Linked DNA regions of Macaca fascicularis. The protein of the gene in region 1 binds, or shares a complex with, the protein of each later gene. Links are inferred from orthologs where the notes say so. Each region holds a gene or a part of one and is shown in the gene's direction. Other genes may lie near its edges.

The links.
Region 2: SNRPD2 (region 1) and USP39 share a complex: the UniProt entries of both Homo sapiens proteins name them as parts of the U4/U6-U5 tri-snRNP complex. The link is inferred for Macaca fascicularis from reciprocal best matches to the Homo sapiens genes SNRPD2 and USP39.

The regions. Positions count from the first base shown.
Region 1 is NC_088393.1:53,756,347-53,760,571, reverse strand, and holds the start of SNRPD2 (small nuclear ribonucleoprotein Sm D2), read left to right. Parts: upstream 1-1,406; 5' UTR 1,407-1,459; coding exon 1,460-1,461; exon of another isoform or gene 1,462-2,193; intron 2,194-4,225. Other genes in the region: QPCTL (glutaminyl-peptide cyclotransferase-like protein), read right to left, coding at 439-645. UniProt on the Homo sapiens protein: Plays a role in pre-mRNA splicing as a core component of the spliceosomal U1, U2, U4 and U5 small nuclear ribonucleoproteins (snRNPs), the building blocks of the spliceosome.
Region 2 is NC_088387.1:35,970,543-35,974,524, reverse strand, and holds the start of USP39 (ubiquitin carboxyl-terminal hydrolase 39), read left to right. Parts: upstream 1-1,163; 5' UTR 1,164-1,195; coding exon 1,196-1,463; intron 1,464-3,982.

The DNA.
Region 1 (4,225 bases):
CGGGCGCCGTCACCCACAAGCAGCCCCGGGTCCTCTTTCTAATTTGCGGCCTCCAGCATCGGAGACTTCTAGGATAAATCCAAGGCTCAGAAAAAGTCCTTCCAAGACCATCCGGTCCAGCCTACCTCAAACTTGATGGGGAAATCGAGGCCCAGTGAGAGAGAGGGGAGATGGAGGAAGGGACTCTTCCAAATAGTTGACTAAAGGCGTAGAACCCTGAACCCCCTCGTCTTACTATTTCAGACCTTTCCTCATAAAAGGAAGCTACTGTTGTAAAACCAGCCCGAAGCCTTATTCCTTTGGTAAGGGTCATGCGCTCAGATGACGAAGACTGTGGCATCTGCGGTTAGGGCCGTACGCTAAAGCCAAGTCAACCCTGGGTAACAGCGGGGAGGGAATGAGGGTCCCCGCGGTGCCCGGGTCCCCGCCCAGCCTCACCCGCAGCTCCCGGCCCAGCGGCAGCTCCTCAGTCCTGCGGTGCCAGCCGCTCCAAATGGTGTAGAACGCCGAGCCCACGGCCAGCGCCAGCAACAGGGGCAAGAGCCGAACCCGCGGTAGCAGGCGGCGCTTCGGGGGCAAGAGTGGCTCCATAACGCCACGTTCCCCTAGCCGCAGGCGGGGCCGCCCGCGGCCCCCGGAACGCATGGCAGCTATGCCCTGAAACCTGTACCAGACCACGATTGAGTTTAGGCCCAGCCAAGTTCCACCCCATGGAATCAGTGGGCCAATAAGCAACAGCAGCGGCTGCACCTGCCCACCCCACAGCGAGCAGCGAAACCAATAAGAGCTACGGTCCTGAGGACACGCCTCCCGGCCTCCCTTGGGTATTGGGGTTGGTTCTTCTGAGAATGGCACGACCCAAAAGGGAGCGCAAAAGAGATAGGCTCCGCCTTAGCGGAGGGGGAAAGCCAATGAGCAGCGTTTGATCGTGGAAAATATTCAATCTCTCGGGCGCAGGTCCATGCCCCTCCCGGATGTAGGCAGGGGATTGGTGGCGCAGGGTCGGAAAGATCAGTAGATACGTCAATAACCCGTCCCAGAGGGAAGAGGGGCGGTGCCTGTCTCCGAAGCGAGGAGCGGATTGGCTTCAGCGGAGGCCGCGCCCCCGAAGTCACGGCCGGCGGGCATTTGGAAATAGTTTGTCATTTCCCTCCTTAAACCTGTACCATTCTTAAACGAAACGGTTTGAATCAGACCGCCTTTCCTTTTGTCTTCATTGTCATAAACATCTGCCCCGTGTGGTTCTGACTGGCCTCGAACCCCTATCCGAGGCTTTTATTCTTTCATTGTGCACCGTTGGTGGGCAATGCTATGGCAACAGGCCACGCCTCCACTTACTGGTTGGCTTTGCGCAGGCGCCAACGGAAGTGGGTCGCAGGAAGAGGAAGTCCCGCCTCTCTCGCCTCAGGCTGCAGCAACGCGGAGGAAACGGGAGTGAACGGAGAGCTTAGTGACCATCATGTGAGGCCGGGCTAGGCTTAGGCGGCGGGAAGGAGGTTGAGGGTGGAAATTTTGACCGATTGAGGGTGGGAAGGGTTGAGCAGAGAGCGGGGTGGGGGACAGGGGCAGATGTTTTAGGGATGGAGCGTCCTGCGTTTCTCCTGATGAGTTTGAGAACGGGCGTGGGGCCTTTGACGCATCGTGACTTCGGGAGAGGGGACAGCTTTATCAGATAACGCGCTGGGCTGGGCGCGGGGACTCATGCCTGTGATCCCAGCATTTTAGTAGGCCAAGGCGGGAGCATCGCTAGAACACAGGAGTTTCGAGACTACTCTAGGCAACATAGCGAGACCCCCGTCTCTACAAAAAAAATTTTTTTTAATTATGAAAAACATATTTTAAACGATAACGGAGGGGGGTCCTAGATAATTAGTCCTATTGAAGTGAATGTTAAGGGGCAGCGATTTTACGAATACTGGGGGAGGCCGGGCGCGGTGGCTCAGGTTTGTAAATCCCAGCACTTTGGGAGGCCGAGGCGGGCAGATCACCTGAGGTCAGGAGTTTGAGACCAGCCTGGCCATTGTGGTGAAACCCCGTGTCTACCAAAAATACAAAAATTAGCCAGACGTAGTGTCGGGCCCCTGTAATTCCAGCTACTTGGAAGGCTGAGGCCGGAGAATCGCTTGAACCCGGTAGACGGAGGTTGCAGTGAGCCGAGATTGCACCACTGCACACTTCCAGCCTGAGCGAAGAGTAAGACTCCATCTCAAAACGAAACAAAAGAAATCAAAACGAATACTGGGGAAGGGAAGTTAGGACTTTTAGAAATAATGATTTGAAATAAGGGACTTCTCCTGATCATTTGAGCTGGAGACAGATGCGTTTTCGACCTAATTCACAACTTAAAGGGATAACGAGTGATTGGCATGATTTTGCTCATTTATTAGTGCACCAAATATTACATTGAATGTTTATGTATCAGACACTGCTTAAGCCACATAGGATACATCAGTGAATGAAACCTTTTGTTCCCAAGGAAAAAAAAAATCTTTTTTTTTTTTTTTTTTTCCCGAGACATAGCCTTGCTCTGTTGCTCAGGCTGGAGTGCAATGGTGCGATCTCAGCTCACTGCAACCTCTGCCTCCCGAGTTGAAGCAATTCTCCTGCCTCAGCCTCCCGAGTTGCTAGGATTACAGGCACCAACCACCATGCCCAGCTGACTTTTATATTTTTAGTAGAGACCAGATTTCGCCATGTTGGCCAACCTGGTCTCAAACTCCTGACCTCGAATGATCCACCTGCCTCGACCTTCCAAAGTGCTGGCATTACAGGCGTGAGCCACCGTGCCTGGCCGGGCGTGAGCCACCATGCCTGGCCGGGGTTTTACTTTCTACACTGAGATGGCGGGGGGGCATGGGAGGATTTTCTTTTGTTTGTTTGAGATGGAATCTCGCTCTGTCACCCAGATTGGAGTGTAGTAGCACGATCTCTGTCTCCTGGGTTCAAGTGATCTTCTTGCCTCAGCCTCCCAAGTAGCTAGGATTACAAGCATGCGCCACCATGCCCAGCTACTTTTTTTTTTGGGGTGGGGGATGGAGTCTTACTCTGTAACCCAAGCTGGAGTGCAGTGGTGTAATCTTGGCTCACTGCAACCTTCGCTGCTGGGGCTCCAGCGATTCTCCTGCGTCATCCTCCTAAGTAGCTGGGACTAGAGGCATGCGCCATCACACCTCGTTAATTTTTTTGTATTTTTAGTAGAGACAGGGTTTCACCATGTTGCCCTGGGTGGTCTGGAACTCCTGAGCTCAGGCGATCCACCCCCCTTGGCCTCCCAAAGTGCTGGGATTACAGGCGTGAGCCATCACACGCAGCCTAATTTTTGTATTTTCTAATTTGTATTTATTTATTTTTTGAGACAGAGTCTCGCTCTGTCGCCCAGGCTGGAGTGCAGTGGCATGATCTCGCTTCACTGCACTCTCCGACTCCTGAGCTCAAGCGATTCTTCTGCCAGAACCTACCAAGTAGCTGAGATTACAGGCGTGCACCACCACGCCTGGCTAATTTTTTGTTGTTGTTTTTGTTTTGTTTGTATTTTTAGTAGAGATGGGTTTTCACCGTGTTGGCCAGGCTGGTCTCGAACTCCTGATGTCAAGTGATCCACCCGCCTTGTGAATCATCACCAGCTGGATGCCTAACAGACATTTTCTTTTCTTTTCTTTTCTTTTTTTTTTTTTTTTTTTTTGAGACGGAGTCTTGCTCTGTTGCCAGGGTGGAGTGCAGTGGCGCGATCTCAGCTCACCGCAACCTCTGCACCACAAAAGTGCTAGGATTACAGGCATGAGCTACCGTACCCAGCCCCTGGGAGGGCTTTGAAGAGTGACATGTTATGATTTAGGTTTTAGCACAGCCCCCTCAGACCACTCTGTGGAGAACAGACTGTCAGGGAACATGGGTGGAGGCAGAGAGACCGGAAAGATTCCAGGTCAGAGATGACAGAGGCTGAGGCCATGGTAAGAAATGGCCACTTCCTACAGATTTATTGTAGGATGCAAGGGAAAAAGAGGAATCAAGTTGACAAAGAGTTTTTGCCCAGAGAACTAGAAGGCAGATGGGGAACACTGTGGATAGGGTAGGCTTCGGTGGTTGGGTGATCTGGACCCCGACCTGAGACATGCAGAGTTGAAAATGTCTGGCTGAGCGCGGTGGCTCACACCTGTAATCTCAGCACTTCGGGAGGTCGAGGCGGGTGGATCACGAGGTCAGGAAATCAAGACCATCCTGGCCA
Region 2 (3,982 bases), on another chromosome or scaffold:
TGTATTGTATTCTAAGATGGAGTTTCACTCTTGTTGCCCAGGCTGGAGTGCAATGGCGCGATCTCGGCTCACTGCAACCTCCACCTCCCGGGTTCAAGCGATTCTCCTGCCTCAGCCTCCTGAGTAGCTGGGATAACAGGCTCGTGCCACCGCAGCTAATTTCTGTATTTTTAGTAGAGACGGGGTTTCGCCATGTTGACCAGGCTGGTCTCGAATCCTGACTCAGGTGATCCGCCCGCCTCTGCCTCCCAAAGTGCTGGAATTACAGGCGTGAGCCACAGCGCCTGGCCTAAATTCCACACTTTAAACATGTAGTTTGTTGTATGTCAATTATACCTCAATGGAACAGTTCAAACAAGCAAACAAGTTCAAGGCAGGTCCTGAGGTTAGAGCTTTATTAGCTTCATGGTAAATCCGCTCCTACCGGGCATTTGCGTTTTCATGGTACCAAGAACCCTCTTAACAGTAGAATTAGGGCCGTCAAGGGGATGATTTGGGAATGTTGCCTAGTTTTCCTGCGCAGGATTGTCAGCCTCCAAGCCGCGGAGACTGTGGGAAACGACCTCGCGATGGTGGTTTCGAGGCACAAATCTGGGGCCGAATGACAGCTTCTTTTTCTTTTATTTTATTATTTCATTTTGAGACGGAGTTTCGCTCTTGTTGCCTAGGCTGGAGTGCAATGGCGCGATCTTGGCTCACTGCAACCTTCGCCTCCGCCTCCCGGGTTCAAGCGATTCTCCTGCCTCAGCCTCCCAAGTAGCTGGGATTACAGGCATGCGCCACAACGTCTGGCTAATTTTGTATTTTTTAGTAGAGATGTTGTTTCTCCATGTTGGTCATGCTGGTCTTGAACTCCCGACCTCAGGTGATCCACCCGCCTCGGCCTCCCAAAGTGCTGGGATTACAGGCGTGAGCCACCGCGCCCGGCCTGACAACTTTTATCCAGAAAACTGTCGCCAGTAAAGGTTCCTGTGTCAGTAAACTGTAAACGACGGTAGGCCCACAGAAGGTTCTCAGGGGCGGGGAAACCGCTACAGGAACAGCACCGCCCACAAATTTCCTGCAGCGTGATTTGTCCCCAGTGGCGACTCGTAGAGCGTTCGGTGCTCCCTACCAGCCCCTCTCCTGATTGGCCGTGTGCCGCGCGCTCGAGCGTGCCTGGCGCCTGCGCTGGAAGACTCTGCCGATAGTGGCTATGTCCGGCAGGTCTAAGCGGGAGTCTCGCGGTTCCACCCGCGGGAAGCGAGAGTCCGAGTCGCGGGGCAGCTCCGGTCGCGTCAAGCGGGAGCGAGATCGGGAGCGGGAGCCTGAGGCGGCAAGCTCCCGGGGCAGCCCTGTGCGCGTGAAGCGAGAGGTCGAGCCGGCGAGCGTGCGCGAGGCCCAGGCTTCTGTTGTCCCGTTTGTGCGGGTGAAGCGGGAGCGCGAGGTCGATGAGGACTCGGAGCCTGAGCGGGAGGTGCGAGGTGCGCGGGGCCGGGCCGGGCTAGGCGCGAGAGCCTCTTTTTTTCGCGTTCTTTTTTCTTGTCTCTCTAATCTTCCGCCAGGTCCCTGCGCCGCGTTTGGCGGGGGAGGGGTGGGGTTGGCGGGGCAGGGGTGGGGTTTGGGTGGGAGAAGAGGAGGGAACCAGACTCTATGGTTCTGCTGTTCGACTTGTTCTGAAGAAGACAGTATTCATCTCAACCGTATATTATTTATTTTTCTATTTTTCTTTTCTTTTCTTTTTTTTTTTTTTGAGGTGGAGTCTCACTGTGTCACCCAGGATGGAGTGCAGTGGCGCGATCTCGGCTCCTGCAACCTCTGCCTCCCGGGTTCGAACGATTATGCTACCTCAGCCTCCCAAATAGCTGGGATTACAGGCGCCCGACACCACGCCTGGCCAATTTTTTGTATTTTTAGTAGAGAAGGGGTTTCACCGTGTTAGCCAGGATGGTCTTGATCTCCTGACCTCGTGATCCTCCCGCCTCGGCCTCCCAAAGTACTGGGATTACAGGCGTGAGCCACCGTGCCTGGCCAACCGTATGGTATTTCTAACTATAACAGTCATAACAATAGCAGTTTCCCTTCATCGAATGCCTGATGTGGGGGCTCAGTGCTGATTTTACAAGTGTTACTTCCTTCCATTTTAAAAAAGAATTTTTTTTTTTTCTTTTTAAAATAGAAGCAAGTCTTGTTATGTTGCCTAGGCTGGTCTCGAACTCCTGGGCTCAAGTTTTCCACTCGCCTCGGCCTCCCAAAGTGCTGGGATTACAGGCGTGAGCCACTGTGCACGGCTTTCCTTCAGTTTTTACAAAACCTCTAAGGTCTTGTAATTTCTGTAATCAAGATATTCAGAATGCCTGAGCAATAGGCACCTGCTCTAAAATATGAATTATGTAGCGCTTTTTAAGCTGAATAAAGTCTGGAGACAATTCTCCATTAGTCTCTTGAGTTTGTGCACATACTGCGATCATTGCCTGACTGCCTTTGCTCCTAGACTCTCCTTAAGGATGTTCGTGTAGTGGGCAGCCTTGGAAGATAGCAGTGGTGTCTCCCTACAAAACAAGGAGGAGACAAGGGCACAATCCATTATAAAAGATTTGGAGCAGGGTGTGGTGGCTCACACTTGTAATCGCAGCTACTCTATAGGATGAGGTGGAGTTCAAGACTAGGATAGGCAACAGAGTGAGACCTCGTTTAAAAAAATGGTTAATGGTTCAGATTCTCTAAGCTCAGGGTTACTCTCCTGTAAGGCAACTCACTGTGTGCATGGGTTCTCCTCACTTTGCCTTGTAGAAATTCACTTGGGAAACTGATATCAAGGCTATATTCTGGCTACTGTCATTGCTGTAATAAATTGCCCTTCATTTCAGGCCAGGTAGTGACATGCTTTCCATCAGCATTTGTAAAACTGTGACAGGCTAACTTGTTAGCTTGCAAGTAGGGTAAGATCTGAGACCCCCTTAAGTTTTTGACAAGTGGTAGATTTATAGATACACATGTACATTCTTCTTTTTTTTTTTTTTGAGACAGTTTCACTCTTGTTGTCCAGGCTGGAGTGCAATGGCACGATTTCAGCTCACTGCAACCTCCGCCTCCCGGGTTCAAGCGATTCTCCTGTCTCAGCCTCCCAAGCAGCTGGGATTACAGGCGCATGCCACCACACCTGGCTAATTTTTGTATTTTTAGTAGAAACGGAGTTTCATTATATTAGTCAGGCTGGCCTCGAACTCCTGACCTCAGGTGAGCTGCCTGCATCTGCCTCCCAGAGTGCTGGGATTACAGGCATGAGCCACCCACCCCAGCCACTCTTTAAACTATGTAGTACATTGGTGACTGGGCTCGGTGGCTCACACCTGTAATCCCAGCACTTTGGGAGGCTGAGGCAGGTGGATCACGAGGTCAGGAGTTTGAGACCAGCCTGGCCAACATGTTGAAACCCCATCTCTTCTAAAAGCATGAAAATTAGCTGGATGTGGTGGCATGCACCTGTAGTCCCAGCTACTCGGGAGGCTGAGGCAGGAGAATTGCTTGAATCTGGGAGGTGGAGGTTGCCGTGAGCCGAGATCGCGCCATTGCACTCTAGCCTGGGTGACAGAGCGAGACTCTGTCTCAAAAAACAAAACAAAACAAAACAAATACACAACTATATAGTAGTACATTTGTATTACAAGTAGTTTATTTTAGTGCTTGTGACATTTCATATTTTTCATGCTTTATGGGATTTCTTTATGTAAAATGCAAACAGATCTTGTGTTGATTTTATGTATACCAAATGTATTCTCCTAGTTTGTGGCTTGTTCTATTAGTGGACTTTTTTCGTTTCTTTTTTTTTGAGACAGAGTTTTGCTCGTCCCCAGGCTGGAGTGCAGTGGCGTGATCTCGGCCCCCTGCAACCTCCTTCTCCCAGGTTCAAGCGATTCTCCTGCCTCAACCCCCCAAGTAGCTGGGATTACAGGCGCCCACCACCATGCCTGGCTAATTTTTGTATTTTTAGTAGAGATGG